Linked DNA regions of Mus musculus. The main gene of each other region encodes a partner of the protein of the gene in region 4 in a complex. Links are inferred from orthologs where the notes say so. Each region holds a gene or a part of one and is shown on either strand. Other genes may lie near its edges. The genes, in order: Lsm2, Prpf3, Lsm6, Lsm8, Snrpd3, Snrnp40 and Snrpf.

What was found.
Region 1: Lsm8 (region 4) and Lsm2 share a complex: the UniProt entries of both Homo sapiens proteins name them as parts of the precatalytic spliceosome. The link is inferred for Mus musculus from reciprocal best matches to the Homo sapiens genes LSM8 and LSM2.
Region 2: Lsm8 (region 4) and Prpf3 share a complex: the UniProt entries of both Homo sapiens proteins name them as parts of the precatalytic spliceosome. The link is inferred for Mus musculus from reciprocal best matches to the Homo sapiens genes LSM8 and PRPF3.
Region 3: Lsm8 (region 4) and Lsm6 share a complex: the UniProt entries of both Homo sapiens proteins name them as parts of the precatalytic spliceosome. The link is inferred for Mus musculus from reciprocal best matches to the Homo sapiens genes LSM8 and LSM6.
Region 5: Lsm8 (region 4) and Snrpd3 share a complex: the UniProt entries of both Homo sapiens proteins name them as parts of the U4/U6-U5 tri-snRNP complex. The link is inferred for Mus musculus from reciprocal best matches to the Homo sapiens genes LSM8 and SNRPD3.
Region 6: Lsm8 (region 4) and Snrnp40 share a complex: the UniProt entries of both Homo sapiens proteins name them as parts of the U4/U6-U5 tri-snRNP complex. The link is inferred for Mus musculus from reciprocal best matches to the Homo sapiens genes LSM8 and SNRNP40.
Region 7: Lsm8 (region 4) and Snrpf share a complex: the UniProt entries of both Homo sapiens proteins name them as parts of the U4/U6-U5 tri-snRNP complex. The link is inferred for Mus musculus from reciprocal best matches to the Homo sapiens genes LSM8 and SNRPF.

Annotation. Positions count from the first base shown.
Region 1 is NC_000083.6:34,980,450-34,984,653, reverse strand, and holds the start of Lsm2 (U6 snRNA-associated Sm-like protein LSm2), read right to left. Parts: upstream 2,801-4,204; 5' UTR 2,572-2,800; coding exon 2,569-2,571; intron 2,525-2,568; exon of another isoform or gene 2,398-2,524; coding exon of another isoform or gene 2,287-2,397; intron 2,035-2,286; coding exon 1,967-2,034; intron 1-1,966. UniProt on the Homo sapiens protein: Plays a role in pre-mRNA splicing as component of the U4/U6-U5 tri-snRNP complex that is involved in spliceosome assembly, and as component of the precatalytic spliceosome (spliceosome B complex).
Region 2 is NC_000069.6:95,853,086-95,857,276, forward strand, and holds the start of Prpf3 (U4/U6 small nuclear ribonucleoprotein Prp3), read right to left. Parts: upstream 2,801-4,191; 5' UTR 2,664-2,800; exon of another isoform or gene 2,235-2,663; intron 553-2,234; 5' UTR 504-552; coding exon 359-503; intron 1-358. UniProt on the Homo sapiens protein: Plays a role in pre-mRNA splicing as component of the U4/U6-U5 tri-snRNP complex that is involved in spliceosome assembly, and as component of the precatalytic spliceosome (spliceosome B complex).
Region 3 is NC_000074.6:78,818,353-78,822,286, forward strand, and holds the start of Lsm6 (U6 snRNA-associated Sm-like protein LSm6), read right to left. Parts: upstream 2,801-3,934; 5' UTR 2,696-2,800; intron 1,734-2,695; 5' UTR 1,635-1,733; intron 1-1,634. UniProt on the Homo sapiens protein: Plays a role in pre-mRNA splicing as component of the U4/U6-U5 tri-snRNP complex that is involved in spliceosome assembly, and as component of the precatalytic spliceosome (spliceosome B complex).
Region 4 is NC_000072.6:18,851,635-18,854,552, reverse strand, and holds the end of Lsm8 (LSM8 homolog, U6 small nuclear RNA associated), read right to left. Parts: intron 2,918-2,918; coding exon 2,790-2,917; intron 953-2,789; coding exon 862-952; 3' UTR 501-861; downstream 1-500. UniProt on the Homo sapiens protein: Plays a role in pre-mRNA splicing as component of the U4/U6-U5 tri-snRNP complex that is involved in spliceosome assembly, and as component of the precatalytic spliceosome (spliceosome B complex).
Region 5 is NC_000076.6:75,516,688-75,520,841, forward strand, and holds the start of Snrpd3 (small nuclear ribonucleoprotein Sm D3), read left to right. Parts: upstream 1-1,354; 5' UTR 1,355-1,438; intron 1,439-2,626; 5' UTR 2,627-2,647; coding exon 2,648-2,773; intron 2,774-4,154. Other genes in the region: protein GUCD1, read right to left, coding at 467-509. UniProt on the Homo sapiens protein: Plays a role in pre-mRNA splicing as a core component of the spliceosomal U1, U2, U4 and U5 small nuclear ribonucleoproteins (snRNPs), the building blocks of the spliceosome.
Region 6 is NC_000070.6:130,358,893-130,362,931, forward strand, and holds the start of Snrnp40 (U5 small nuclear ribonucleoprotein 40 kDa protein), read left to right. Parts: upstream 1-1,239; 5' UTR 1,240-1,313; coding exon 1,314-1,457; intron 1,458-3,735; coding exon 3,736-3,865; intron 3,866-4,039. UniProt on the Homo sapiens protein: Required for pre-mRNA splicing as component of the activated spliceosome. Component of the U5 small nuclear ribonucleoprotein (snRNP) complex and the U4/U6-U5 tri-snRNP complex, building blocks of the spliceosome.
Region 7 is NC_000076.6:93,582,529-93,586,658, forward strand, and holds the end of Snrpf (small nuclear ribonucleoprotein F), read right to left. Parts: intron 1,800-4,130; exon of another isoform or gene 1,567-1,799; coding exon 1,502-1,566; exon of another isoform or gene 1,003-1,501; coding exon 936-1,002; 3' UTR 501-935; downstream 1-500. Other genes in the region: Ccdc38 (coiled-coil domain-containing protein 38), read left to right, coding at 1-27. UniProt on the Homo sapiens protein: Plays a role in pre-mRNA splicing as a core component of the spliceosomal U1, U2, U4 and U5 small nuclear ribonucleoproteins (snRNPs), the building blocks of the spliceosome.

The DNA.
Region 1 (4,204 bases), on a different chromosome or scaffold from region 4:
TTAAGGGATGCACTGCTATCAACACCACTTAGCTAATCATCTTTCAAAGTATTATCATCCTCCAGGATATGAGAGAGGTCATGGAAGGTAACAAAACTTACAACCAATAAACTGAAGGTCAGCCCAGATCTGCATGACTCCCAGAAGCATCAACTATTATTTTTAAAATATTGATTTTTATTATTTGTGTGTATGTGCATGTAGTTACCCACAGAGACCAGAAGAGGGCATCAGATCACTTGCAGCCAGAGTTCTAGGTAGGTGTGAATCACCTAATGTAGTTGCTGGAAACTGAACTCTTATTTTTCAGGGAGAGCAACAAGTTTTGTTTTGTTTTAAAGATTTATTTATTATTATATCTAAGTACACTGTAGCTGTCTTCAGACACTACAGAAGAGGGCGTCTGATGTCCGCTCTCTTTACAGATGGTTGTGAGCTACCATGTGGTTGCTGGGATTTGAACTCAGGACCTTCGGAAGAGCAGTCAGTGCTCTTAAAATCTCTGAGCCATTTCTCCAGCCCCCAGCAAGCTCTTTTTAAAGCACTGAGCAATCTCTGCAGCTTCCCTAACTGTTATTTGTAAACATTTACTGCTTTGGAGTCACAGACCTATGTACACATACTGGTAGCTGGAATTACTCTTTATTATTTTTGCTACACTCTTTTTTTTCTCGTATGAGTTTTTTGTTTGTTTGTTTGGTTTTTTTTTGTTTTTGTTTTTTTTCGAGACAGGGTTTCTCTGTGTAGCCCGAGTGCTGGGATTAATGGCCTGCGCCACCACACCCGGCTTCTTCTTCTTTTTTAAAAAATTGGATATTTTCTTTATTTACATTTCAAATGTTATCCCCCCCAACTTATCTTTAATAATGAAGATACAAGTCAAGTCTTCTCAGTTCTCCAGCCCTCTAGCCCCTAAGCAAGGTTATCAAGGCCAGTGCTCCCATACCACCTTACATGCCCCACCTTATATTATATTTACCCTCTGTGTAACCAACTTTAACCACCTCAGATCCTGAGTTTTACTTCCTCACTCTCTACATCCTATGAATCCCCACAGCTCTGTAGACCATTCGTGTGATTTGACTTTTAGACTATGAAAGGTCTTAGTCTGCACCTCAGTCTGGGCCAGCTTCTAACTTGGCCACACTGGTCAGAACCATCCTGCTGGTCAACCACTGATGTGTGTTCAAAGGTTTCAAGAGTCTACAAATAAAGTTATTTTGCTGGGCGGTGGTGGCACACGCCTTTAATCCCAGCACTCGGGAGACAGAGGCAGGCGGATTTCTGAGTTCGAGGCCAGCCTGGTCTACAGAGTGAGTTCCAAGACAGCCAGGGCTATACAGAAAAACCCTGTCTGGAAAAAAAAAAAAAAGTTATTTTAAAGAGAAACATGAGGGCTGCATATGAAGTTCACTTGTTGAGCATGCCCAGTACATGAAAGAAAACAAAAGCAAACAAAACCCGGCTTCAATGAAACTATAATTTTCGAAGCACTATTAGGAACCAAGTAGACCTTAACGGATGTGACAAGAACCCATAAACATATTTCCAGTGGTACAGCATTTAAGCATTTACCCCAACTCCTGAATCGTTAAGAGCAAATGATACAGCCAGGCAAATCCTAGCACTCAGGAGACAGAGGCATGTGGATCTGTGTGTTCCAGGACAGCCAGGACTACACATACATGTTACTTAACTGTATCTCACTGTGTAACTCCGGATGGCCCTGGACATATGTAGACCAAGCTGTCCTTGAACTCACACCTCTGCGTTCAGTGTTGGGATTACAAGCATGTGTCACAATACCAGGCTCACTCTTAAACTAATCTTTTACACTTAAGACGAAAGGTATTTCTTCTGTGTTTTGCCTACCTACTCTGAAGTAACTTTGTCAACAACAACGACAAAAAGGATCAGGACACCCGGCACCCCCACCTTCCACCAACTCGCTAAAATAAGGACCTACCTCAGGTCATTCTTGAGTTCCACGACTACATCCTTGCCCACAAGAGACTTGAAAAAGGAGTAGAAGAGCTATTGGAAAAGAGGGAGGAACTATCACATGAAAAGGGACGGGGAGGAGGAGCCCGTGACAGTATTTTGAAATACTAGTCTTTGTAGCCCCTCCTAGTAGTTCTCAAAACTTCATAACCAACAACAATCCGTTAAACGGGACTCTGCAGTTCACGGAGCCACGGAGTGACAGGACCTGCGTTGCACCCCTCGACGCTAGAACCCACTCTCTGAGTCGACCACCTCCCAGCTGAGACCGCTTCCCAACCGCACCCTCACAAAGTCCTCGTCAACAGCACAGAAGTGCAAGGCTCGCTTCCCGTTCTCCCCCGGCGCCCGTGGGCTTTCTCTTGGACTTGCTAAAGGTTTCCCCCAAAACACCATCGGCTCCGAGCAGCCTCCTCACACTGGGGTGTGGGCAGTAAGGCTGTACGGAAAACCCTGGGGCCTGGCTGCCGCCCCAAGCGACCGACACGAGTGCCCGCACCCACGCCCGCACGGTTCGAACCGCCCGCCGCGAGCGGCGGCGCTCCCTTTTGACGTCACGGTACCCACCATGGTGCTGGCGCCACGCGGGGCGGCCTGGACCGCGAAGGAAGGCGCCGGGGACTGCGAGCCGGAGGCAGGGCGGGAGCCGGAGCGCGAGCCCGCGCGTGAAGCAAGACTGGATCACGCAGGCGCACGGGGAGCCGCGAAAACCTCGGCTGAATTCAGGCTCAAAGGGAGCGGGGTAGGGCAGAGCCGAGAGGACCGCCAAACCGGTAGAGGGGCGGAACTTCCTGTCCCCCCCACTTCCTCCCGAGCAGCCGCTTTCTCACAAGCGCATGCGTGGGCCGTGGCAGCTGCGCGTTGGACGTAGTTCGTCTCTTTTTCTGATGGTTGTTGAGACTTTTCTCTCTGCCGCGTGATTAGCTCGTAGTCTACGTTTTCTATGGGGAATTATTGGGAAGATTGAGAAAATTATGACTTGCGTATTCTTTAGTAAAATTTAAAATGTTGCTAAGAGCTGGACAGCGTTCGTGCCCAACTGGAATCCTGGAGTTGAGACGGGAGGATTCTGGTTTAGAGGTCAACTAAAGCTATTATAGCAAGACCCTGTGTCAGAGAATAAAATATACACCAATACACACTGGTTATGGTGTGTGTGAGTGTGAGAGAGAAACCGGAACACAAATCCTGATTCTTATCAAAGGTTCCCAGTAAGTAAGTTTCTCTCAATTTCAGTCTTTTGGGGTGCAAAGTTGACCCAGAGCGGACACATTCTAAGCAAAGCAAATGAACAACATCCCAGCTCTAATGTTATATATATATATATAATTTGGCATAGGACTCGTCTGTAAAGGACTAAACTGACTGGAACTCAGTGACAGAAATATTTTACTTTATCTTAGCTTTTTTTGTGTGTGTTTGACAGTTTTTGCCTGTATGTTATGTCTGTACTACATGAGTTCCTGGTAGAAGAGAGGGCTTCAAATGCCCTGGGCCTGGAGTTACAATGGTGAGCCTCCTTGTGGGTGCTGGCAATCAAATCTGGGTGTTCTGGAAGAGCAACAGATGCTTGTAACTGCTGATCCATCCCTGCATTACTGAAATATTTTCAACTAGATCACCGACAGATACTACTTTGGATGTTCTGGGAACAGCATTACCAGGCTTGTAACATGCTGGTTGTGAAGGAGTTCACAAGAGCTGACTGATTTAAAAAAAAAACAAAAAACTAGAAAAGCCTCAGTAGGCAAGTTCCAGAGAAGAAAGAGATGGTCTGAGATGAAAGGGCTTTGTTGTTATTTCGATTGACTTGTTTTATGTAAGTATGCTGTGGCTTTCTTCAGACATCCAGAAGAGGGCATCAGATCCCACTACAGATGATTGTGAGCCACTCTGTGCTTGCTGGAAATTGAACTTAGGACCTCTGGAAGAGCAGTCAGTGCTCTTAACTGCTGAGCCATCTCTCCAGCCCTATTGTTTTTTTTTTTTTAAATAATTACATTAAGTGGGAAGTTGCTAGGTTGTATCTTCTGTGGATATCATGTCTGGATAAATAGGGAAACACTTTCTATTCTGTCTTCTCTTCTTGAGGCTGGCTGTAGGTGCAAGGCAGTCACGGGACACAGGTGAAAATTCTGAGAGTCTAAACCTGCTGATTGCAGGGTGGAATTCTCTAGTGTAATAATCTAAATAGATTGTAGCC
Region 2 (4,191 bases), on a different chromosome or scaffold from region 4:
CAGCTGGAGAGCTGCTGATGTAGAGGAAATAGACTCATAAGTCTTAGGCCATCCTCAGCTAGTGAGCTGGAAGCCAGACTGGGCTCCATGAGACCCTGTCTTTTAAATAAAAAAGGGGGAGGAGGGAGTGGTGCACACTGTTAACCCCTGCACTCAGGAGGCAGAGGATGGTGGATCTCTAAGGAGTTCCAAGTCAGACACAACTACACAGGAGACCTTGTCTCAAAACAAGCAAATAACAAAAGGAGAAGGGGGCTAGCACCACCTTTCCTTTAATGCTCCTAACAGGGACAACCTGGGGAAGTTCAAATCAGTGTTTGGAATCACTATACGTCAGAAGAGTGAGAGAGGTACACACCAGCCGCCTTCTTTTTGTCCATGCCCTTCCCCACACAGTTCAAGGCTGCAGTGACCACTGTGGGCTCTGAGAAGCCCAGCACTCTCTTCACCGTCTTCTCTATCCATGGCTTCAGCTCATCCAGCTCCCGCTTAGACAGCGCCATTTCGGAGAAAATGGAGAATGAGAGCTCCAATGGGACAAAAAAACTACACCTAAAAGAAACCAAGCAAGAGTCAGAGAAAAGGAAAACAAAACAATCAAGATAATAGCATAATAAGAGTGCTTTTCCCCATTCCTATTTTCAACCCCAAGCACATCTCTCCACTTCATATGAAGGGAAATACATTCCCTAAAACCAAGCTTCAAAACAGAAGGAAGGGGTCCATTAGTTTTTGTTTTTGTTTTTTTTTTTTTTTGAGATACGGTCTTACAATGTAGCTCATACAGAACTCAACACTTGGCAACTCTCCTGTCTCCACTTGCCCAGTGAGAAATTCTAGGAGCATACAACCATGCCCCACTCATTTGATATTTTAATTCTAACTCAGCATCAGTCATCATTGCTATCTAAAGAATGAACAAACTAGGAATAACGTAATCTGAGGAATGGGTTCTAACTCTGACCCTGTCACACAAAAGACTGGCAAACAGAACATCTGAAGAGTCAATCTAGAAGTCAACTTCTGCTCTGGAAGCCATTCTCTAACCTAACTTTGACCTAAAACTTGTCTAACGGATTCAAAGAAGAGGGTTTATTCAAGTCAGTCCTCCTGTGTTAAATCTCATAATCCTTAAGAATGCTGTCACCTTTCTCTGTAGTTTTATTCATGCTGGTAAGTATTCTATACACCAACATGATTTTTTTATTACTTAACACAGTTGGAGAAAAATTTCAACACTATTCATGCTTACATTTGGGTAATCTTAAATCTCAACATCTTCACCAGCATAAAGATAACTTAATTTCTGATTTTCTTCCTAATGGCTGCATGTCAATCTATTGACTGCACCGACCTCAACTTCCCATAAGACCTCCTCTTAGCACTGCCATGCATCTTAGTATGATCTGGGAATTACTCTTTCAAGATGTTTAAAGACATCTAAAAAATGCAACCTCAGAATGATCATACAAGCCTGTGATCCCAGCACAAGGGGAATCAGGAGTTCAAGTCCAGCCTTGGCTACAGAGTTCAACATCACCGGTGGCTACATGAGACCTTGTCATAAAAAAAAAAAAAAAAAAAAAAAGATGCAGTCTAATTAGCTCCTACATTCTTGACAGATTTCTCTCTCATAAGATCTGTCAATACACAGTATTTAATACATCTGAATGAATCTGGAAGGCTGTTTCTCAGTGACAACTTTTATGAATAATCCTGGGATAGCTTTTTTGGGCCATCATGAGATAGCAGTATACTGCCTATCAAAAAGAAAGCAACCACAGGCACTAAAAGTGGAGAAGAAAGCCCATTTAAGATAGAATATAGTAAGCACCACCATTCATAAGCCCTTAGGAAAGCAAGTTAATTCCCGAGAGCCTCAGTATACTTATCTTAGAAAATGAGACATCTGGTATAACACTCCATTCAATAAATACTTAAGTTACTATTTCTTGTCAAGCAGAATACTTACTGCATGTAAGGACACACACAGCAGTGAACAAAACAGCCAAGAATCCTCATGTTAATGGGACTTACAACCCACTACAATTGAATAATAGGCTAGAAAGTTTAAGCAATTTTCAAAATCCAGAGTAATAGGTGAAGCATATTAAGCATATTGGATGTAAGCTCAAGAAATATACTAACAAATGGATGTCTTCAAATTCGACCCGAATGTGCAAACGAAACAGTCAATGGATAAGAAAGTTTCAGTCAGTAGAGTTGTCACTAACCAGATGTTCAACTCTAATAGCGAGGGGGCGTCAGCGTCGGTGGGGGGCTGGGGGGTGGAGGGGAAGGGGAAGGGGAAGGGGAGGGAGGCAGAACGCTGTCTTCTGAATGAGCAGGTAGCAGAATCTCATCTTCCGAAGGGATTCCTTACTTTTCTACGCTACAAGCCCCTGGAACCCCATGCTCCGGTCTTTGCTATCTTCCCACCTGGCCCCGGCCCCACCGAGTCCGCGCTAACTCCTCACCTCAGGGCAGGTTTGCCCACCCTGCTGCTTCCCGCCCCCGCCCTTTGCCTTCAGCCAGCCCATTCTGACTTCTTCCCCGGACAGAACCAGGGAGTCCTCCCAGCCTGCTTCCCGCCGAGCACTCCCGCCCTGTCCAGCCGCTCGCACCGAAGGCTACAGCCTTTCGGGCGCGGGGCCACTACTCACCTCACAAACTTCAGCCCCTGAGACGGAGCCCGAACGTTACACCGGAACCGGAAACCTTCCGGTTGCCCTACGGCCCGCCGTCGCTACCGCCACACACCGCCACGCTGCGGTCCCTACGGCACGTGACTACGGAAGGCGGGGCCTCAGCTGCGCAGCCGCGGTATCAAGGTGCCGGCCGCGGGGCGCACGCGCCGCGGGATCCTAAAGCCTAGTCCGCGGGTTGTCCCGGAGCGATGCCAACGTTAGTTCGGGCATTATTTCCCGGAGCAGAAATCGGTTGGCATCACATTCCCTCGGGTCCAAAGAGTTAGTGCGCTAAGATTATCACTTAGAACTAAAAGCAAGGACGTCCACATTCGTACTCAAAGTGTCCTTTCTAGTTTAAAAAAAAAAAAATTGTGATCTCTAGCATTAGCTGCCCTCCCTTAACTTTGCCTCCCTAATTTAAAATCGATACCAGAGACCAGGCAACAAAAAAGAACAGATTCAGAGCTATCCCCTGGCTTCCCATTCGCCAATGAAACACCAAAACCTGCCTCACTTCCTAACCTCTAGGGATAACAGTATTCCAATTGCTAGCTCAGCCTCAGAAACCAGACTACTTTCTCGCTTGTCGCTTTCTGCCTTGCATGGCTCTTTACTAAGAAAACTACAAGATTTGCACTCCACTCTACTTCGGGTTTGTGCTCAAATTAGCCTTAGAGAAGCCTTTCTGGCCGCCCTATTTAATTTTGATACTTGACGCTCTAGAGTCCCACTTTTTTTTTCTTTTTTCTTTTTTTTTTCCTTATTGTACTTGTAGTATCATCTACCGTATTCATAAAAGTTAACTTAGGCTTTGTACTAGTCAGGGTTCTCTAGAGTCATAGAACTTATGGGTAGTCTCTGTATAGTAAGGGGATTTGTTGATGACTTACAGTCTGTAGTCCAAGTCCCAACAATGGGCAGCAGCAGCTATGAAAGGAAGTTCAAGGATCTAGCAGTTGCTCAGTCCCACAAGACAAGCAGGTGGAGAAGAGAGAGAGAATCTTCCTTCTTCCAATGTCCTTATGTAGGTCTCCAGCAGAAGGTGTGGCCCAGATGAAAGGTGTGTGCCACCAAGCCTTCAACTCAAAGATCCCCCAGTCTTAATTTTCTGGAATTTATAGCCACTATGCCTCAAGATCTCCGTGCCAAGATCCAGGTCAGAAATTGTATATCTCAGCCTCCAGATTAGGATCACAGGTGAGCCTTCCAATTCTGAATTGTAGTTCATTCCAAATATAGTCAAGTAGATAACCAGGAATAGCCACCACACGCTTAGTGCTTATACTTACAGTAACACTCATACAATTAAGTACTTAATAAATACTTGTCTACCATGGCAAGTTCCCCACTACACATCCCCCAAATAAAATGTAAAACTTTTTTTTTTTTTTTTTTTTTTTTTTTAAGGAATGGCAGTTCCTCTGGGAAAGGTGGGGGTAGTGGATAGAGGTTAGATAAGGGACATCAAATGCAGTTAGGTAAGAGAAAGTACTTCTGGGAC
Region 3 (3,934 bases), on a different chromosome or scaffold from region 4:
ATGCAGTGTGTGTATCAAACTGTATTCACCCAGTGATATATATTAGCCATGTTAGACTCAGTCTCCAAAGAGACTTTAAAAATTCAAGAGGACAAGAAAAATCTCACTTCTCTAGTAGTCTTGGCACCTGAACAGACTGTGTGTGGAAGAGGCATTCAAAGATGGTATCAGAAAGTCCAATCCCTCCCTTACCCGTCTACAACCATAGCTACTAAACAGGCATGGCTACTAAAGCATCATGCACGCACTTCAACAGCTACGAGCCTGCAATTCTTTTCTAACAACCATTAAATACTAAAAGAAAGGAAAACAGAAATGCTTGGTGGTCAGAGCCAAGCCTAGGAAGAAGCCTGGTCACATACAGATTTCTGACACTTACTCAGTGTTTGCTTCTTACTGCATGTTTTTCTCGTTTGTCTTATGTAGTGGGGCGGGGCAGAAGCAGCTGCTCCAGCGTGCATATGATGTCAGAGGTCACCCTTGCGAGGTGTCCAGGTTTGGCCATGAGTGCCCTGACAATTGGGTTACTTAGGCTAACTCCTAAAAGCAAGCTGCTCTCAACCAGAGGTGACTTTTGTGCCTCACCCTGGGGACATTTGAAAATGTCTACAGTCTGTACTGTCACTACAGGAGAGTGGTAACTAGGATCTAGTTTACAGAGGTCAGGGATGTCCCTCAAGACTCTACAGTGTACAGCAGTGGTTCTCAACCTCCCTAATGTGTGAGCCCTTAACACAGTTCCTCATGGTATAGTGAGCCCAACCATAAGGTTAATTTTATTGCTACTGTTATGATTTGTAATGTAAATCTCTGATATGCACATGCAATTCCCGAGGAAGGGTCGCCAGACACCCCCAAAGGGGCTGTGACCTTGGGGTGGGAACTGCTGGCTCAGAGGACAGCACTCTACAACGAAGGACTGAGTGGTGGGAGTGGTTCAACACGTCAGCTGACAGAAATGCTGCCAGGGAGCCCTAGCCACCACCTCGTTCCCTCTCTCTCGGTTTTCTGGCTTAAACACCACGGGATTTTAGGAAAGGCGAGCCTTGGCGTGAGAACCAGATGCTGAGTAGGCAAGCCCCTCTGTGTCTGTGGGTTTAAAGTGTTTACGGATCCAGCCAACCTTGCCTCACCTGGTAAAATGAAGCTGTAATTACTTGTCCAGCGGTCTCTCTGCTACCCAGACACAGACTTTCCCCTTGCTGTACTCCCTAAGCAATACTCTACTGCAACCAGTGACATTAAATGGCACGTTGTGAGTAATCTAGAGATGATGTGAAGGGCACAGGAAGACTGCACAGTTTATATGTAAACACAGAGGAAACCTGAACGTCCATGCACTTTTCGGTACTGGGAGGGATAACAGTAGCACTTATCAGAAGTATCTGATCCCAACACGGGGAAGCTGGAAGCAATCGTCAAAGTCTTGAAAGGGTTGACCTTCAAAAAAATAAATAAATTTCTAGTGCTGAACACAAAAATGTAACTTTTCTATTTTCCAGTCCCTCAATCCAAAAGTAGAAAATAAGCCAGGGAGTTAAAAACAAAACAAAACTTTCTTTAAAGAAGTTCTATTATCTAGTAGGCCACCCTTCAGTGAGAGAAGAGCTGCTGCAGTCGTTAGGGGTACTCACTTGGGAGGCAGGAAACCTGAGTTCTAATCTCTGCTACTTAATTATCTGTGCAGCTTGCGTAACTCATCACCATTTCACCTGTCACGGCCCCAGGCTCATCTGCAAAATAAGGAAGTTAGGCTAGATGGGTACTGGCTGTCTCTTCCTGTTCCAGCATCTGATTAACATGTGCAGTCAGTCAGTCAGTCTGTCTCTCTGTCTGTCTCTGTCTGTCTGTCTGTCTGTCTGTCTCTCTATCTCTCTCTCTCTCTCTCTCTCTCTCTCTCTCTCTCTCTCACACACACACACACAGTCACAGCCTGCAAGTTCAAACTCCCAATAGTAATTCCAAAGTGAGGCTGTGCTTTGCTACTTTAGAACCACAGTAGGCCCTTTCACGGTTTTGAAGAGCCAAATAAATTACTAACACTTTAAGAAAAACCAGTCTCGCAATGTGCAAGAACCATCTATGCTAGTAATTGAAAATTTGAGGAATAGAAGTTAAGGCATCACGATATCGTTCGGGATGCGAAAATGAAGCAAAAAACTCACACCCAAAGACGTCAGCCTGGGAAACAGCTGAATAATTTATGAGATCCACACAATAAAACAGGGGGCCCAAACGAGATCAATGAATTTTAAAATCACAACTTGTCTCATTTTAATGTAAGTATAAAACTAAATACTGGTGTGTGGTTAAAAAACTTGGTGGTCTTAGCTGAAACAGAAACAGGCCCACACAAGAGAAAGGGAGTTGGTGTGCCGAGGCCGTCAGCAAGGACCATTTCCTCCGCTCGTCTGTATTTACTTTCCGTCGCGCAGGGCTCGCGGGTGGAGGAGGGCGCCGAAGTCGCGCGCCACCGTAACCCTGGGCGCTCACCCCAATCGGCGCGAAGCGCGCGCGCCACGGGAGCGCGCCCGGCACCGCGAGCCCGCGTGGCCCAGACCAGCGAGCATCTCCTGGGACGCAGGCCCGGCTCGAGCCGCTCCCCGCCAGCCCGGACCATCCGCGGCCTACGCCAGCCGCTCCCACCCGGAGTGCCTGCCCGCACCCATTCATTCCTCCCAGGCCGCGGGCTCACCTTGCAGCCGGATCCAGAACGCTCACAGGCCGGGCTTCCGCGGACGCGCGCGCCGAAAACCGAAACCGCCCCCGGCAGCGGCTTTCCCATCTCACCCAATCAGCGTCCTCCTTGCCTATGGCGACCCGCGGGGATCAAAAACAGTCAGAACGCGTTAGTGAGCTGGCTTCCAAGACCGGGTTTGTTTAATGGTACCGTCGGCACCCAGCCAGGGCTTGAAGTAAAGGTCCGATATTCTGATATTCTCTCTTTTGCCAGAAAATAGAATACGAAAGCAAAACAACCAACCAAGAGCTAGAAGTGATCTTGTGTGTGTGTGTTTACAGTAAAGAACCTTAAAATATTAAGAAACGGAAACTTACAGTTAAAACGATGGCTGTTGAGCACCCCGAAATAGCCTTAAATAATTTAAAACAAATACAAGTTAAAAGCCTCAAACCCTCAAACTAACTTCTGCATATAAATTAAATGTATGAAGAGATTGTTTCCATGGGAATGCTGAAACAAAAAAATAATTCAAGCAACTCTGAATTATAACGGCATCAATTAGAAAACGTTACAAATTAGTTTAATTGGAAACTGCATGCAGATACTATTTAAGTAGTGTATGGGAACTTGGTTAGGGATACTTCATGAATTCTTAATGCATGCTTTTTATTTATGGAAGAAAAAAAGTCACAGGAAGACAATTTCTTCTACCCCCACGATCTCTTTATATTTTAACTTATATTTTATATTTATATTTTAAATTTTAATTCTGTTTCTGTTGTTTAACATTCAACAAAGTTATAATACCTTCAAACAACAGCTACATAACCCTGATAAGTGTTACAGGATCTAAGATGCAGAATTGTTTTCTGAAACACAAAGTGGATTCCTCCTTTTCTACGTGCCTTTGATTGATATCCTGGACAGTGATCTACCTGCCTTTGGTTGATACCCCAGACAGTGAACAACTGGGTGGAATTTGGAAAAGAACAGGAACATCCTTCTGTCTGTCTGTAAAATTCCAGTTGATGTCAAGACCAAATAATTACAGACATTGATCAAACAGCATTTTAGGCTCTTGAAATATAAAATTAGGAACACAGGTAAAGTCACATTTAAATCAAAGAAGGAGCACGCTATGCCTTGTCCCTAAAATAAAAACTGCTTTATAGGTCAAATTGGGGGCTGAGGATTTAGCACAGTGGTAGCATATCTAGTGTGCATGAACATCTCTGGCACCACAGCGGTAGT
Region 4 (2,918 bases):
GATGGTGCATGCCTTTAATCCTAGCACTTGGGAGGCAGAGGCAGGCGGATTTCTGAGTTCAAGGCCAGCCTGGTGTACAAAGTGAGTTCCAGGACAGCTAGGGCTACACAGAAAAACCCTGTCTTGAGAAAACAAACAAAACAAAAAAACAAAAAACAAAACAACAAAAGTTGCCTCATGGACTAAGTAATGAGAGACAGCAGAGAGCACTGCTCTTGATTTAACTAATTTCCCACATTAAACAAAAGCTCTTTGAATAGAGATATTCCTCACTCTAGTTTAAAAAAATTCAGTAGTACAATGGCATTTAACATTCACAAAATCTTCTTTCAGAAACCAAATCTTGTGACCTTAACAGGCATCTAAAAATTTAGACACAATTTTTCCAACTACTGGAGAACTGTACCACATTGGGATAAACTCTATGACAGTTACCTGTAGACGGCCATTTACTATCTGGTATTTCTAAAAAAAAAAAAAGGAAAGAAAAGAAAACCACAAAAAGAAATGTGTCTTTTATTACTATTATTTGCATTAGTATAAGTTACAATAATAGTCTAAGTTCTCTTTACAGCCAATTTCCCATAAATATTAAATTACCAAAAGTAATGGTATTTTCTAAGTTTTCAAATGATCCTTAGATTTTTGTATCATTTGGTAGAAAAATAAACCAGCCAACCACATTTATTAATTTAGGCAATGTTTCCCAATAAAAAATGTAGAAATATTTAAATTACATATTACAGTGTACCAACATGAAGTCAAACTGCACAATTACACACTCATAAAAACCCTAAACATCACTCTCAGGACAGACGCTTCTGTACAGGATTTACACACATCTCACTACACACTGAGGTCTCAGTGTGCTACGGAGTTCAGAGGCTCTGCTCGGATGTTCCCCAAGTCGAGTGCAGAATCCGTCTCTTCATCTATTTCCCCAATGACTGCTCTGTTATTAATATGAGAAAAAAGAGTCAAAACATTTCTAAAATAAATTGACATACATTTCTAAAGTCTCATTAACTACAGCATCTTGTTTCATGCTTCTTAAACATGTGGAACTGAGAAGGTGCAGCAAAAATACAAGGTAGGAAACAAAAGCCATTTCATCTCATCACTAAGTGAACTGAATTACCCATGTCATGGGACTCAAGAAGTAATGTGAAGGTAGGACAGGAACATATGTAAAGAGATACTGTGAAGAGTCTGAACATCAGCTCTTTGGAAAACTGACATCTGATCTGCAGCATTTATATGAGGCAAACAAAAGTCTCCATGGGGTAGTGGGGCTAATTGCAAGCTACTAACAAGACCCTAATCCATTTATTAGCAAAAATTCTTAAAACTGTTTTCATGGGTTCCTGAAAGCAGGCTCTAGTCCCAGCAGGTTTAGGGTAAATGTTTAATTCTGAATTATTTTTTGTACATAGACCCAGGAGGCACCGTAATCATCAGTCCACACACCCCCAGTGTTTCATCAGTACTGCTGTGGTCAGAGGACCTGGCCCTCTGCTCTGGATCACTCTTTATAACTCACGTTATAATCTAAGCCAAAAGTCATCTCCAGAGACTATTTTATAGATTGTAAACACAATTTTAATTAAGGATCAGTTGATCATATTTACCAAAATACAGTTTTCAGATAAAGTTAAGTGCCTAGAGCATGTGTTCATTTTAAAATAAGTGTACAGTATTAATAAATTAATCTTAAGCATATCCACAAAGTAAGTTCAGTGTCTCTTCCCTACATCTTACGGAGCCCTTCAAACCACCTAGTTACTAACGTCTTTTGCTGTCCTCTAGTCATATTTTGACTATTCATAGTATTTAAACTTAAATGTTAGCCACAGGAGGTAGATTACATGTATAATGCTAACACCTGGGAAGCTAAAGGAAAATGAAGTAAATCTGGGTTGGTAACAAGTTCCAGGTCAGCCTGGTTATCCTCAGAAACCAAAACCAAACAAACAAACTACATAACCCCAAAATCAATTTTTAAATTAGTTCTTTGGTCACCAGCCGCTTTTCAAACACACCACAGCTATACAAAGCAAGTAGCTGTAACAGTGGAAAATGCTGAGGCGTGAGGCTTCCCATCATTAGAAAAAGTGACTGTGAAGAGCACTGCTCGAAATGGTTACAGCCTTTCTCAAACTACACTGTCAGGGTCCTAATTCAACAAAACAATAGGTGCATCGTGGCACACATTAAGTACATCCACTACACTAAAAATAGTAACAGTTAAATGAGCGTGGACCATTTAAAATAATTCAAATGGGAGATTTTTTAAAAGATATTTTCCAAATCGTTAAGAAGCCTCTTTAAGAAATGTGATGAAAAAGCAGGGCCCTTTGTGGACATATCTGGGCACACACAATGATGGTTTAGGCTACTAGGAGGCTGCGGTTGTAGGGGAACCTAAAGTTGAAAGTCAGTCTGAGCAACTTAGGAAGGTCTGGTCTCAAGATGTAAAAAGAGAGACCGCAGCTCAGTAGTAGACTGCCTGTTCCCATGTACAAGATTCTAGGTTCAAACCCCGATTCTCAAATAAGTAAAGACACAGGAAATCTCAGTAGGCAACTGTTTGTGAGATCACTTTAGTTGACCCCTGAGGCATCTAAACATACAGCATTTAGAATTATATATAAGATAAGCTCTACCTACAAAACAAGTTAAGTGCACAATTCTATGATACATATGGCATCATGTATGTTGGAGAAACTCTCTCTTCCATAAAGCAAACATACCAGTAGCACAAATGTACTCAAAATGACTTATGTACTTACACATTGTCGCCCCTCACAATGTATAACCCCAACACCACTTGTTCTACTCCCTGTGAAGAGCTGAACACCCGCTCATGGCTTTCATCCAAAATCAAGTTAATGGTCTGGTCAAAACCTTTTAGTGTTCCC
Region 5 (4,154 bases), on a different chromosome or scaffold from region 4:
AGACAAAAAGCGCTGAGAAAAAGATGTTCCCTTTGCTGGGTGCTCCCAGGCCATTCTTTTCCCCCTCTTTCCCGCCCCTTTGCTGAGAGCTCTCAAGCCATTCTTTCCCCCTCTTTCTCGGCCTCAGGCTTTCCACAGTTCCCCGGGGAATAGGATCACCCAACGTGCTTCAAGCAGGGCTATTCGATTCTGGACAAGGTTGTGCCTTTTTGCCCCTTGGACTTTTCCACTTGACGGCTCTCAGCACTCCCTGGGCTTCAAGCCCCAGGAGACTCAGGAACGACCCTAAGTGGAGGACAGGAGATGAGAAGGAATATCCACCTAGCTAGGACCCACTAGAAGCTCCAGGCTGGGCTGAGGCCGCAGACGACCCAAGGTCGCGCGCGGCCAGACCCTGCCCGGCTCTAGGGCGGAGTCCCCCTCCGTTCCCCCGGTTGAAGGCAAGGCCCTGAAGAGAGGCACTGACCGGGCTCGAGCGGCTGCCCCGCTGCCTCTGCCTCCGTCCTCATGACCCGGATGGCGCAGGGCGCCCATGGCCCCGGCCTGGAGCTGATTGCAGCGGCGACTTCTGCTGGGCAGCGAGCGCGGCCAGTGAGCGCAGAGTTCCTCCTCCTCCGCCTCCGCCGCCGCCGCCGCCACCGCGGTTCAGAGCCGGGTAGGCGGTGGCTAGGCCGCCTCAAGCCACGCCTAATCCCTTCCAGGTCTGGGCGCTGGAAACCCGCCCCTTCCATAAGCCACGCCTCTTCCCTTCCACCCCCACTTCTCCTTCCAGAACCCGCTACCCGTAGGTCCTTCCCTGAAACGCTCCGGGGGCCCCTCCCCCTCCCCGAGCCCCGCCCCTCCCCGAGCCCCGCCCCCAAAGCCCTTCCCCTAGCGACGTGGGCTCCCCACGCTCTCCCTCCGCTAGGTCTGTTCTTCTGCAGCCTCAGATGGAAGCTCTGGTTCTCCGCAGTGCCTTATCGAGACTCCAGGGAACACTTTCCCGACTCCTTTTAGGTCTTCTTACCCAGACAAGGAATAATGAGAGTTCCCAGGGCTCAGTGCGTCCCTTACCTGCCGGTGGCCGGATCCAAAGCTTAAATCTCTAGTCCAAGCCTCACTTCCTGTCTCCCCAGAGCACTGGGCTCAAGCCCAGATCCCGCCCAATCCGCCACTACAGTACTCAGGGTTACCATGTTCCCTTGTTGGGCTCCAGGATTGGTGTTTCCGGCGGTCCCCCGGGCCCTCTCCGGTGCCGGAACTATTGTGCTAGAGCCCTGGTTTCCCCAGCCGGCTAAGTGAGAGTGAAGGGCAAGTAGGCTTAAAGGAAAGGGAGGGGCCTGCGCAAGGCATTCTGGGAGCGCGTGGTATTCGTGAGAGTCGGGCCGGTCGTTCTCTCGCCTTCGCCTTCTAACGTTTGTGCCAGAACCGGAAAAAAAATAAAGCCTGCAGTTAATTGGTGAGGAGAGGCGGCTAACGGGAGAGAGGAGGCCAGGGCTTCCCCAGGGGGTTTAGGAGCTGGAAGGGCCGCTGCGGAGGAGCTCAGCGGGGCTTGCTTAGCGGAGGGCGGGAAGCCAGGGCCTATCCAAAGCTCATCTCCCGAACCCTTGAACAGTTATTAATTTACGCCTAGTCTGCACGTTCGGTGCCTTCTCAGGTCACCGATTTCCGAAGCTTACGGGCAGTCATTTCTTGCTAATTACCTCCTTTCCTTTTGGATCATCATTTACAACGTCCCTTTCATCCCTGCCTCCACTCCCATTCCTGCAGTGGCCCTCTTTTCCACGCTGCTGCAGAAGTTTAATCAAGTTGCCGTGCTATATGTTCGATCCACTTTGTAGATGCTACTCTTTTTTTTTTGAACCTTTGGCTATCATCCTGCAGTGTTTCCCTACCATTTTCAGCATGGAAACCCACACTCCTAAAGTTGAAAGCCGTGGTTCCTCACCGAGAGAGAGAGACTGTGTTTAGCATCCTTACAGTCTTCTCATGCAAATAAATGGTGTGCTCCGGTTTTGAGTCGTTTCCAATCTCAGCATTTTAAAAGCCCTGTGCATAGTCTTTGTCTTGTAGTGAGACTTAAAGTCGAGCGTTTACCCTATTTCTCTGCTTGATGAACATTTCCTATTTATAGCACCGTAGCCTTGACAGTTTTGGTCTGCTTTTTGGTGGGGATTCAAAACGCTGGATTGAAAAGCGCAAGCTCTTTTTCCTAGCTTCCTTGGGGCTCAGGTCTATATGTACTATTAGGTTCTGTAGCCTTTATCCAAATGTGGTGGCTGACTACTTGGGATATTTCTGGTGTGACTGAAAGACTGAGTTTGCTTTTATTTGCATTTTATTTAACTCCATGTAAACAGTGATTTGTTTACACTCCGGGTCTATATCATAGCCCTTTTAGTGACTATAAAGGGTCATATGGCTGGGATGAGAATGGGGGTAGTACTCTTTGTTCCCATTACTTTTCATTGTCCAGCTTACCATCCTTCCCTACCCTACGTGTTGCGCTAATTTGCTGTGGTGGTTCCTTGAGGCCAAGAGCCACACTCCTTCCACAGGAAACGCAGCTCTTGACATCATTTACAAAGCCCATGGCGTGCCAGTCCTTAAGCTCTGAAAGATGACCATCGTCTCTCTTTCCCTGTAGCCCGGGAAGAGTCCTGCCAAGATGTCTATTGGTGTGCCGATTAAAGTCTTGCACGAGGCTGAAGGCCACATAGTGACGTGTGAGACCAACACCGGGGAAGTATACCGAGGGAAGCTCATTGAAGCAGAGGACAACATGAACTGTCAGGTATCCTGCTTGGCACCAGGGCTGGGAAAGGGCTGTGGCTTCTATCCTGTGGGTAGAGCGGTGTACTTGGAGGTCTTAATGAAGTTATTCTCATCAAACAGTTATTAACTAAGTACTTATTACCTGTCAAGCACTCTTACAGGCTCTAAGATTTTATGTCAGTATAGACTTAGCCTTGAGGCAGAAAAGTCATTTGACAGCCTGTGGTTGTACGTGTGTATCCGAGCACTTGAGAGGCTGAGGTAGATTCTCGAGTTCAAGGCCAGTCTGGGCTTTATAGCAAGACCACACTGCTTTTGGTAGGGAGTCAGAATGCTGAATTGAAAGCACAATCTCTTTTCCTAGATTTCTCTGGGGTTAGGTCTATATTTACTGTCAGGTAGCCTTTAGCCAAATACAGTTGCTAAGTACTTGTCTATAAAACAACCAGTTAAGTTTCACTTTTCTGTCTCAGAGTCGGTCAGGTTCAGAGCCAGTGTCTGCTTCCCAGCACAGTGTATAATTTGCAGGATCTTCTACTCACGTATTGTGTGTGCTTACTTTTGTCTTGGAGAAAGTTTCATCTGATAAAACTGCCAAAGTTTTGGCATATGGTTTGGGGGTTTTCCCCATTAATTAAGAACTTGAGCTTTGGAATCAGAGAATTCCCTGATTCCAAATTGAGTTGGGCCATAATGATAGGACCTTGGGTATCCTGGTCACTTGTTCTCCCCTGAATAAAATGAGGATGGAGTTGTTTTGGATCCTCTGTGCTGTAAATGCCAACCCAGAATTAGATACACCAGAGACTTTGGGGAGGTGGCGTGAAGGACGCCAGTGACCGAGCAGGATTGCGGAAGTGATTGGTTACTTTGCTTGTTGCTGTGATCAAATTCCTGACCAAAGCAACTTAAGGAAGGGGGAGTTTATTTCGACTCACAGTGTGATGAGACAGTCTGATGCAGAAGAAGTCATGGTGGCAAGAACTTGAGGAGGGTACTAACTAGTCACATTGAATCTGCAGTCAGGAAGCAGAGATGAGTGCCAGGACTTAGCCCAGTTTCTACTTTTCACCTCCACCTAACCTAGACAATCCCTCGCAGACACGCCTGTCCCTTCAGTAATTCTAAATCCATCAAGTCGGTAATATTAATCATCGTAGCAGGAGGGTCTTCAGTCCAGGAAAGGAAGGCAGAGTGAGCAAAAGGAGCCTCAGGCTACAACATGGTGCTGAGGAAGTTTCACCCAAGTAAGAGGAGTAACTGGAGCCAGTAATGGACTGGCTCTGATGTTTCTGCTGTGGTCAGTCCCTGGCAGCCTGCTGGAAGGGCTGTCGCAGCGTGAATGCCCTGGCAGGTCCCCCAGAGTGGCAGCTGGAGGGTGCCAACCTGTTGTCTCCTGA
Region 6 (4,039 bases), on a different chromosome or scaffold from region 4:
TCCAATCTCATCACACCATTAAGCCTGAGGGATCAAGTCCTCTTTTGCACCACATTCTGGAGGAGAGAGAAAACTATCGCTGGCTTCCTATTAATTTTAAAGTAAAAGCTTCAACTTCCTGCAAATCTTCATGACTTCCAGGTTCATCCCATACCATATTCACTTTAAGCTAGCGCTCTCGCTCTCGCTCTCTCTCTCCCCCCACACCGGCTCTTTGTGTCTCCCTCATCTTTCCGACTGATAGAACCTGCTGTTCTGTGCAGAACGTTCTCCCTTCCTCTCTTCCCCTAATTAGAACCGTCCCATCAGATAGGAACCGCTCAGATGTCTTTTCCTTTAAAAAGCCTTCAAGTTTATATTAGTAACTCACAGCAAGAGGCATCGCTTGTTTAGGTAGTCTTCCGATCAAATGGTTTTTGTTTAACATCAAATTTGTTTAACACGTTTCCCACACTCTGGGGTAGAGGACCATATTTCTTCAGAATGACCCCCAAACGCACTGCACAATAAATATCATTTGGACCACTTTCGAGAAGACCTGGCACGCAAGCATGATTGTTCGATTTCTCAACTAAACTGTGCTTCGGAAGAACCATCTGATACTTTCCTCATCACTGGCTGTCTCGGGGACATAAATTAAAGCCCTTTTAAAAAGACGGCTAAATCAGTGACAACTAAGTCCGCCGCCTCAGCCAAGTCCGGCACTGAAGCCTGGAGGCCAGGACTCGGGCCAGCACAGAGCTAGACGCAGAATTGGCATCCTGCAGAGCAGCTGTCAAGGGATAGCCGTCTGAGGGTTCGAGTCCTGGAGCCAGAGATGCCAAAGCTCCGCTCCAGCCTACCAAGGGACTTCTCTTTCCGGCGACACCTCCTGCCACCCCATGCTGCTAAGGCTGATAGCTGAAAAGGGCAGGCTCAGGCCTATCACCACCTCGCACCTTCCAGATTGGAACAGCCACCCGCCTGATTCCCCACACACTCACTCCGCGTCCGCGCCTAGCAGGACAGCCGCTTCATAGCTAGGAACGCCAAACCTGCTCCGCTCGTTCTCACCCACGATGCACTGCGCGCCCGAGGGGGCGGGGGAGAACGCCAGCTCCGCGACCCAATCCCAGAGTCGCCTTCTCGTGACGTCATCAGAATGGGACCAATCACAAGAGTGTATTCAGAGGGCTTTCCAGAAGGAAATGTTAGAAGCCAATTGGTTGCTCCTCTCCGGAAGTTCTGGAGGAAGAACTCAGTTGGAACCAATTGCGCGGCGCCTCCGGTCGGCGGCGCGGTTAGTGGCGGCGCCGAGGAGAGTGGCTGCCGCCATGATCGAGCAGCAGAAGCGTAAGGGCCCGGAGCTACCCCTGGTTCCCGTCAAGCGGCCGCGACATGAGTTGCTGTTGGGAGCGGCAGGAGCCGGCCCCGGAGCGGGGCCGCAGCAGGCGACTCCAGGGGCATTGCTGCAGGCGGTAAGTGGGGAGTCATCCCGCCTTTGGCCCTCCGCCCCTCTTCCTACGGATGATGTCGCCTCTGAGGGAACGGAAAGACAGTGAGCCTGAAGTTAAAATAGGCTTCTGTGAAGGTGCCTGGTGTTCTCTGTGTGGTTCATACGTGTTTCCCTAGTAGACGCCTGTTTTCAGCCCTTCAGTGGCATTGAATCATTTAAAACCTTGGCCTCAAAATCAAGACCCAAGCTTCCGCATCCTAAATCTTCAGGGGTTTAGCATAAAAGAAACATTCAGGAAAGTTTGCAGAGTGGACGAATGAATGAGAGGGGAGGCAATGGAAATGAATGATAGCTCGCTTTACTACCTGGTAGAACTTTTTTCTTTCTCTGCATTTATAATTGTAATTAACACTCGTTGGATGTTATCTTGGATGTTTTGCGTGTGAAATTTCCATTAACCATGGTACCTGACTGAAAGAAGCTGTTACTTTGCAAATGGGGAAGGCAAACTTTTTTGTATCCAGAAGATCCATGGCTCCAAGCCAGTGTAGGCTATTTATTATGGCAAAGTCCTGTTGAAAGAGAGAAGAGAAGAGATCTGTGTAACTATGATCTTTTTTTTTACCTTCTTGTTAAAACTGTTTTTATGTCATCTGACATCACTGCAGGTAGAGCTTAATTTAGTATTCCTGGTTTTTGTCTTTGAACCAAGGATTGGTTATTAATCCAGTAGCCAGGGGAATCATGGAAATATTAAGTCACATGGTATACTCTGCTGAAAACATTATGTTGGCTTTCTATTGTGCGTTTTTTTAAAAATCAAATTCTCTGTAATAATCCCCTCCTTACCTTGTTCATCTACCAGTTTTCTGGCATGTCACTTGGCTCAAGACACCGACTTATAATGTTCTTTCTTTCCTTGGTGCTTTTGCTGGAATGTTCTTTTAAATGCCCACATGGTCAGCTGTTTGCTCTTTCAAATCTTTGCTCAGACACCAGGTTTTCAGAGGGGCTTTCCTGACCACTGTGTTTCAAGTTGGAGTGTCCTGTAATCTGGAACCCATACTGTTTCTTCCCATGGCACTCAGCACTGGGTGGCTCTGTGTGCCTTTCTCTCACTTTCCACTAGAATGCAAGGTCTACTGTTTTACTGAGTGCTGTTTTAGGCGTGTGTGTGTGAGTGTGTGTGTGTGTGTGAGTGTGAGTGTGTGTGTGTGTGTTTCATATGTGGGGAGGGGGAACTCAGTGGCCAGAAAAGAATGTTGGATCCTCTGACCCTAAAGTTACAGCCCTTGAAAGCTGCCCATTGTGGATGCTGGGAACTGGACTTGGGTCCTTTAGAAGAGCAGTAAGTGCTCTTAACCACTGAGCCATCTCTTTAGCCAACATGTGACACTTTTTGAATAAAAATGTTGGATGAGTATGATCTTGGTACATTATTTGCATTTATGGATATATCAAAATGAAACCCATTGCTTATAGATAGTACATGATAATAAAAATAAGTAAGTCTGCCGGAATCTGCTAAAGAGATTTCAGGATTATTGGTAGTACACTTGTTCTTATTTAATGAGTAAGATTGCCTAGGTTTATTCTCCAAGATCATAATCAAATCTACTTTGCTAAGCCTGGCACAGTGATACACACTTGTTCTTAGGAGGACTGAAAATTTTAAGACCTTCCTGGGCTACATATTAAGACCCTGCTCATTCCCCCAAAATCTATTTTGCGTAATAAGCTGTACCATACAAGGTTTTTCAAAGGCTAGCTGGGTGAACTTGAGACAGGAAAATGGTGACTAAAATGAAGAATGTACCTGTACTCCCAGAGCTTCATCTCTTTGGGGAAAAAGAAAGGCAAGAAAGGGAAATTCAGGTAGTGATGGGGCTTTGACCGCCTGCCCTGGAGCTAGTGGAATACTGGTGTGGGGAGGTACCTCACTCAAAGTAGGTTAGTTTGAGTGATGAAAGACAGACTCTGAGGAGGAAATATTTAAAAGATACAAAATAAGGAAGGTCTCTTGTGAAAGACATCTTTCTATGTTAAGATTCTGAAGCATAAGTGGATTCAACATGATCAAGCAGTCAGAAGTCGTCTGTGGAACAGAGACAGCCTTAGGGAGAAAAAAGCGCATTGGGCATATGCTGGACTGTCCAAGGGATTGTCAGAGAGTTCTGTGAGCAGGGGTACTATCGCTGACCCAGGTGAGATCTGTGCTATCCCTGACCCAGATGAGATGCGCTGCCCCAGCTTTCCTTTGCCTGTGGACAATGGCTGCCTCACACTTGTCTTTGGTTTAGGGACCGCCCAGGTGTTCTTCCCTTCAAGCTCCAATCATGCTGCTCTCGGGACATGAGGGGGAAGTGTACTGCTGCAAGTTTCACCCCAATGGATCCACCCTGGCTTCTGCAGGATTTGACCGGCTAATACGTAAGGCACAATTTTGAACTGGAGTTACATACAGCTCTCTGCTAATAATGATCTCTTTAATTTTGAGTGCCATAGAAATCCTCAGACATCAGTCTAAATTGCCAAGTTAAACTATAGTCATGCTAAAGCAGGGCATGTGTAAAATAAAAGGAAGGAAATGTACTAATTGGAAAG
Region 7 (4,130 bases), on a different chromosome or scaffold from region 4:
CAGGACGAAGAGTACTTTTTTAGTTGAACGGGATCACGAGGATACTTTCTTAGCGAATGTTTTATGTGGATGTTGGCTTTCAGTGATGCAATACTGCCCTAGCAAATTCCAGGGCCGCAGCAGACCTTTAGCTGGAAGTTTACAGGACTAGGAACAGCAACTATTTTCTGCTGCAACTCTATTGTTCACTAGTACAGGCCATGAGCTAAGCAATACTTACTTTAGGTTGTCCCTGTTGGAGACATGTATCCAAAGTCAATTTATTGATGTAACAATAGAATGGCCTTCCTCAAAGCATGAGAATTTTAATATTTTCTAAAGCAATAAGGAAGTTTACAGCTTTGAATATACATTTTTAAAATGTATTATTCTTAAAACAACTGGACAGGTTTAAAGCTTAAAAACTAATAGACTACGGTCTCAGAACAATCATGGGGCTGGTTTTCTTTCACATTAAGCTCTGAAAACCTTATCAGAAAACTTTCAAGTGAACAAAATCATACATCTTCAGCCTAAATATCAATTTGTATTGTATTTTATCTCCATAATTATTTCAATTTTCATGTTTTGACTTAGCTATAATATACATTATTTAGTCTATGTCAATATAGAAATAATGATTTATTAATACAATATATATTAATACTAAGAAAATGTTTAACTTTATGGATGTTACAAGTGGTTTGGAAACCTTAAACAACACTGCTGCTTTTATGAGGTCTCAGTTAAACCAGCGGTGGGATTACAAAAAAAAAAAAAGAGTCCCTTGAATAAAACTGAGAGGCTTTTAAAACTTTAGTTCTAAGAATTATCCATCCATTGTTTCAACATTTGCGCTTTGCATTAAATAGTCCACAAGTCAAGTTGAAAAAAAAGAACCCCAAATCTTTATTGTATAGAAATACATATATATATAAAAAAAAAAATCCAAGATGCTATTCTCTCATTTCCCCATCTTCCTCTTCTTCTTCAACGCCTCTGATGTAGAGGACATTATTACACCTGTAACAGAAAACAGTCCATTGTGAGCTGCACTCAGAACCCACACAAGATCAATCCTCAGTGCCCCATCATCAGACTGGACACTGAACTCACAGCTTGCCACTTGTCCTGTTAGTCCTGTATAGGTGTAGTAAAGACACACCACACATTTTTACCATCATCACACTTCATCTCTACGACTTAGAATGTAGGTAGTTGCTGATACCAGACAGTGAGTACAACAGAAATCCTTAGCAGCCAGACTCAACTAAAATTCAAATTTAAATCCCTGTAACCCAGGACACTGATACAGGTTACAGCTGGAGCCAGGAGATGTAAATCAAGAGTAGGAAAATCTCAAATATAAACTGAAATCTTCCAACATGTTAGTGATTTCACAAGCTTCTGAGATCTAGTTGTAGAGTACTTCCTGTTTAATGTTTAATAGGACTAATATATTTCAGCAGGTATTTCTGAGGTTAGTTAGAACTCCTTTCATACACACAAATAAGTCTGTTACCTTATTAGAACTTCGCCCAGATGTCCAGACAGCGCCCCATCTATGTACTCTTCTGTATTTGCAAGCTTTAGACAAAAAGAAAGGTATTAGTATAGCTGCACGGGAGGGAAGAGTGCAGCATGCCTACTCGGTGAGGACCCAGTGACTGAGACTCCTCCACACCAACAACTCACACTGGATCCATAAACAGTAGCTCTAAGATTATCTTCCCATCACTCTTGTAGCTTTGGATTTCATATATTCATTAAGACATGCATGGGTATAGAACTCATGGATAATAAAGCTCGTTTCAAAGTTATTAAGCCTTCTAGATGTTATTTCTATCTGCTATTAAAGTGTCTCAAAGAAGAAAGCTTATTTGAGTAAGTTATAATTCTTAAAATTTTCTGAAAATTCAGCTCCAAAGAACCAGACATTAACTTTTCTTAGAGTAAAACATTATGAATCATATTAACTTGTTCAAATGGGTGTACAAAAGCTATGGCTAAAATATATTAGCCAACAACCAAACCAAAAAAAGTTAAGATTTTTAAAATCTCATGTACTCAATGGGGATGGGGGTGGAGGGGTGGGGGTGTGTAAATCAAGAATGATCTTTAGGGTTACTTTTGCAAATTCTATTCTAATTTTAAATGAAAAATCTTTAGCTATTTCAGCAGCTAAAATAAACTAATTATTTAGTTATATTATTTAGTTAGTTAGGGTGGGGGGGATTCGAGACAGGGTTTCTCTGTATAGCCCTCGCTGTCCTGGAACTCACTGCCTCCCGAGTGCTGGGATTAAAGGCGTGCGCCAACACACCCGGCTTTAGCTATCATTCTTACAATTAAAAAAAAAAAATATCCACCAGTGCTATATGGGGTCACCAAAGGCAGAACAAGAGAAGAGAAGGAAGCGTCTTTCATAAGCAGGCAGTGGACATAGGTAGATGTGGCTGGCATAAAGCATTTAAGACATGCAAGCTGTTTCTCTGTAGGAAAACAAAGCAACCAGAGAACATGTTGTCACTAGAACAAATGTTTGTGAGATGATTTTGTATATAACTCCTATCAGAAGGAATGTAATTGTGTGTGTATGTAGATATTTATGTTTTTGAGAAAGGGTTTCTCTGTGTAGCTCTGACTGTCCTAGAACTCACTCTGTAGACCAGGCTGGCCTTGTGCTCAGAGATTAACCGGCCTCTGCTCATAACTGCTGAGATTAATGGTACACATGGATTAATTATTTTTGACATTTCCCTAACACTTAAATGGCTTCTAAGTTGTATCTATACTAATGACCCAAAGTTTAGAGCTTACTAAATTCAAAAGCCTCACTACTGTTGAAAGGCTTTCAGTGACTGCCATCCCACCTTCTACTCTGGCCTTTTGTCTGTACCTCAAACACCCTAGTACCCCCCCCCCAATCCCCGTGGACAGAAGCTTTGCATCTGCTGCTCCTTCCAACAGATATGATTTTGTCCCAGATGCCAAAGGTCTCTTTGGAGGCGAGGCTGTTCAGTACTGCACACTCATAACCCTGGTTTTGCTTTACCGCCATGCTGTGGATCACTCCTACGCATCTGTGGTCCACAACCATCTCCCACCACTGGAACAAGCTCAAGGATATGGACTTTGTTTTGCTCACTGTTATATTCATGGTACCAAACAGACAACCAATACCTTTTGGCTAACTGAAGCAACTCAGAAACCGGGCTCGCTCAGAGATACATTTTATACCTCGGGACACTACATTAACTGCAAGATCAACTATTAGGTGGTTCATTTGTTTCAACAGGGTTTCATGTATTCCAGGTTGGCCTGCAACTTCCTGTGAAATGGGGATGATGTTTTAATTTCTAATCCTCCTGCTTCTATCCCAGGAATGACAGAATCACAGGCTTTTTTTCACAGAATCACACCAAGTGACAGGGATGAAACAAAACATTCTGGGGTTTTCAGTGTATTCATAACATTGAACTCTCATTTCTAATCCCACACTATATTCACCACTACAGGCATACTTTCCAGACTTTTCTACAGCTTTTGTAAATAACTCGTTTCAAGAATTTTCCAGACCAAATCTCTCCATATTCTTGTTAGCTGGATTTCTAGTTAATATATCCACCTAAGTAACCTTTAAAATCTGGGCAGAAACTACAATTAAACACACAAAAAAATTAAAAACAGACAAAGTGGCACATGCCTTTAATCCTACCACCCAGGAGGCAGAGGCAGGCAGATCTCTGAGTTAGGCCAGCCTGGACTACATAGCATGATACAGGCCAGCCAGGGCTACATAATGAGACCTTGTCTTAAAAAATACAAGTAAATAAATAAATAGAGGATGTGAGTACCTTGTCTTAAAAAATACAAGTAAATAAATAAATAGAGGATGTGAGTAACATATTTCTCCAAAGATGAAAGCACATGGTTAATACACACATGAAAAGGTGCCCAATGTCATTGGGGAAATGCAAGCCAAGAGGAGATACTATTTCAGATCAGGAGAATAATATTTATACATTAAAAAGAGGAACCTCGTAGAAAACAAGTGTTAGTGCAGATGTGGAAAACTGTAACTCTTGGGTACCATCTGAAGGAATCAAAACCACACAGCTGCTATGAAAAACAATATGACATCTACTCAA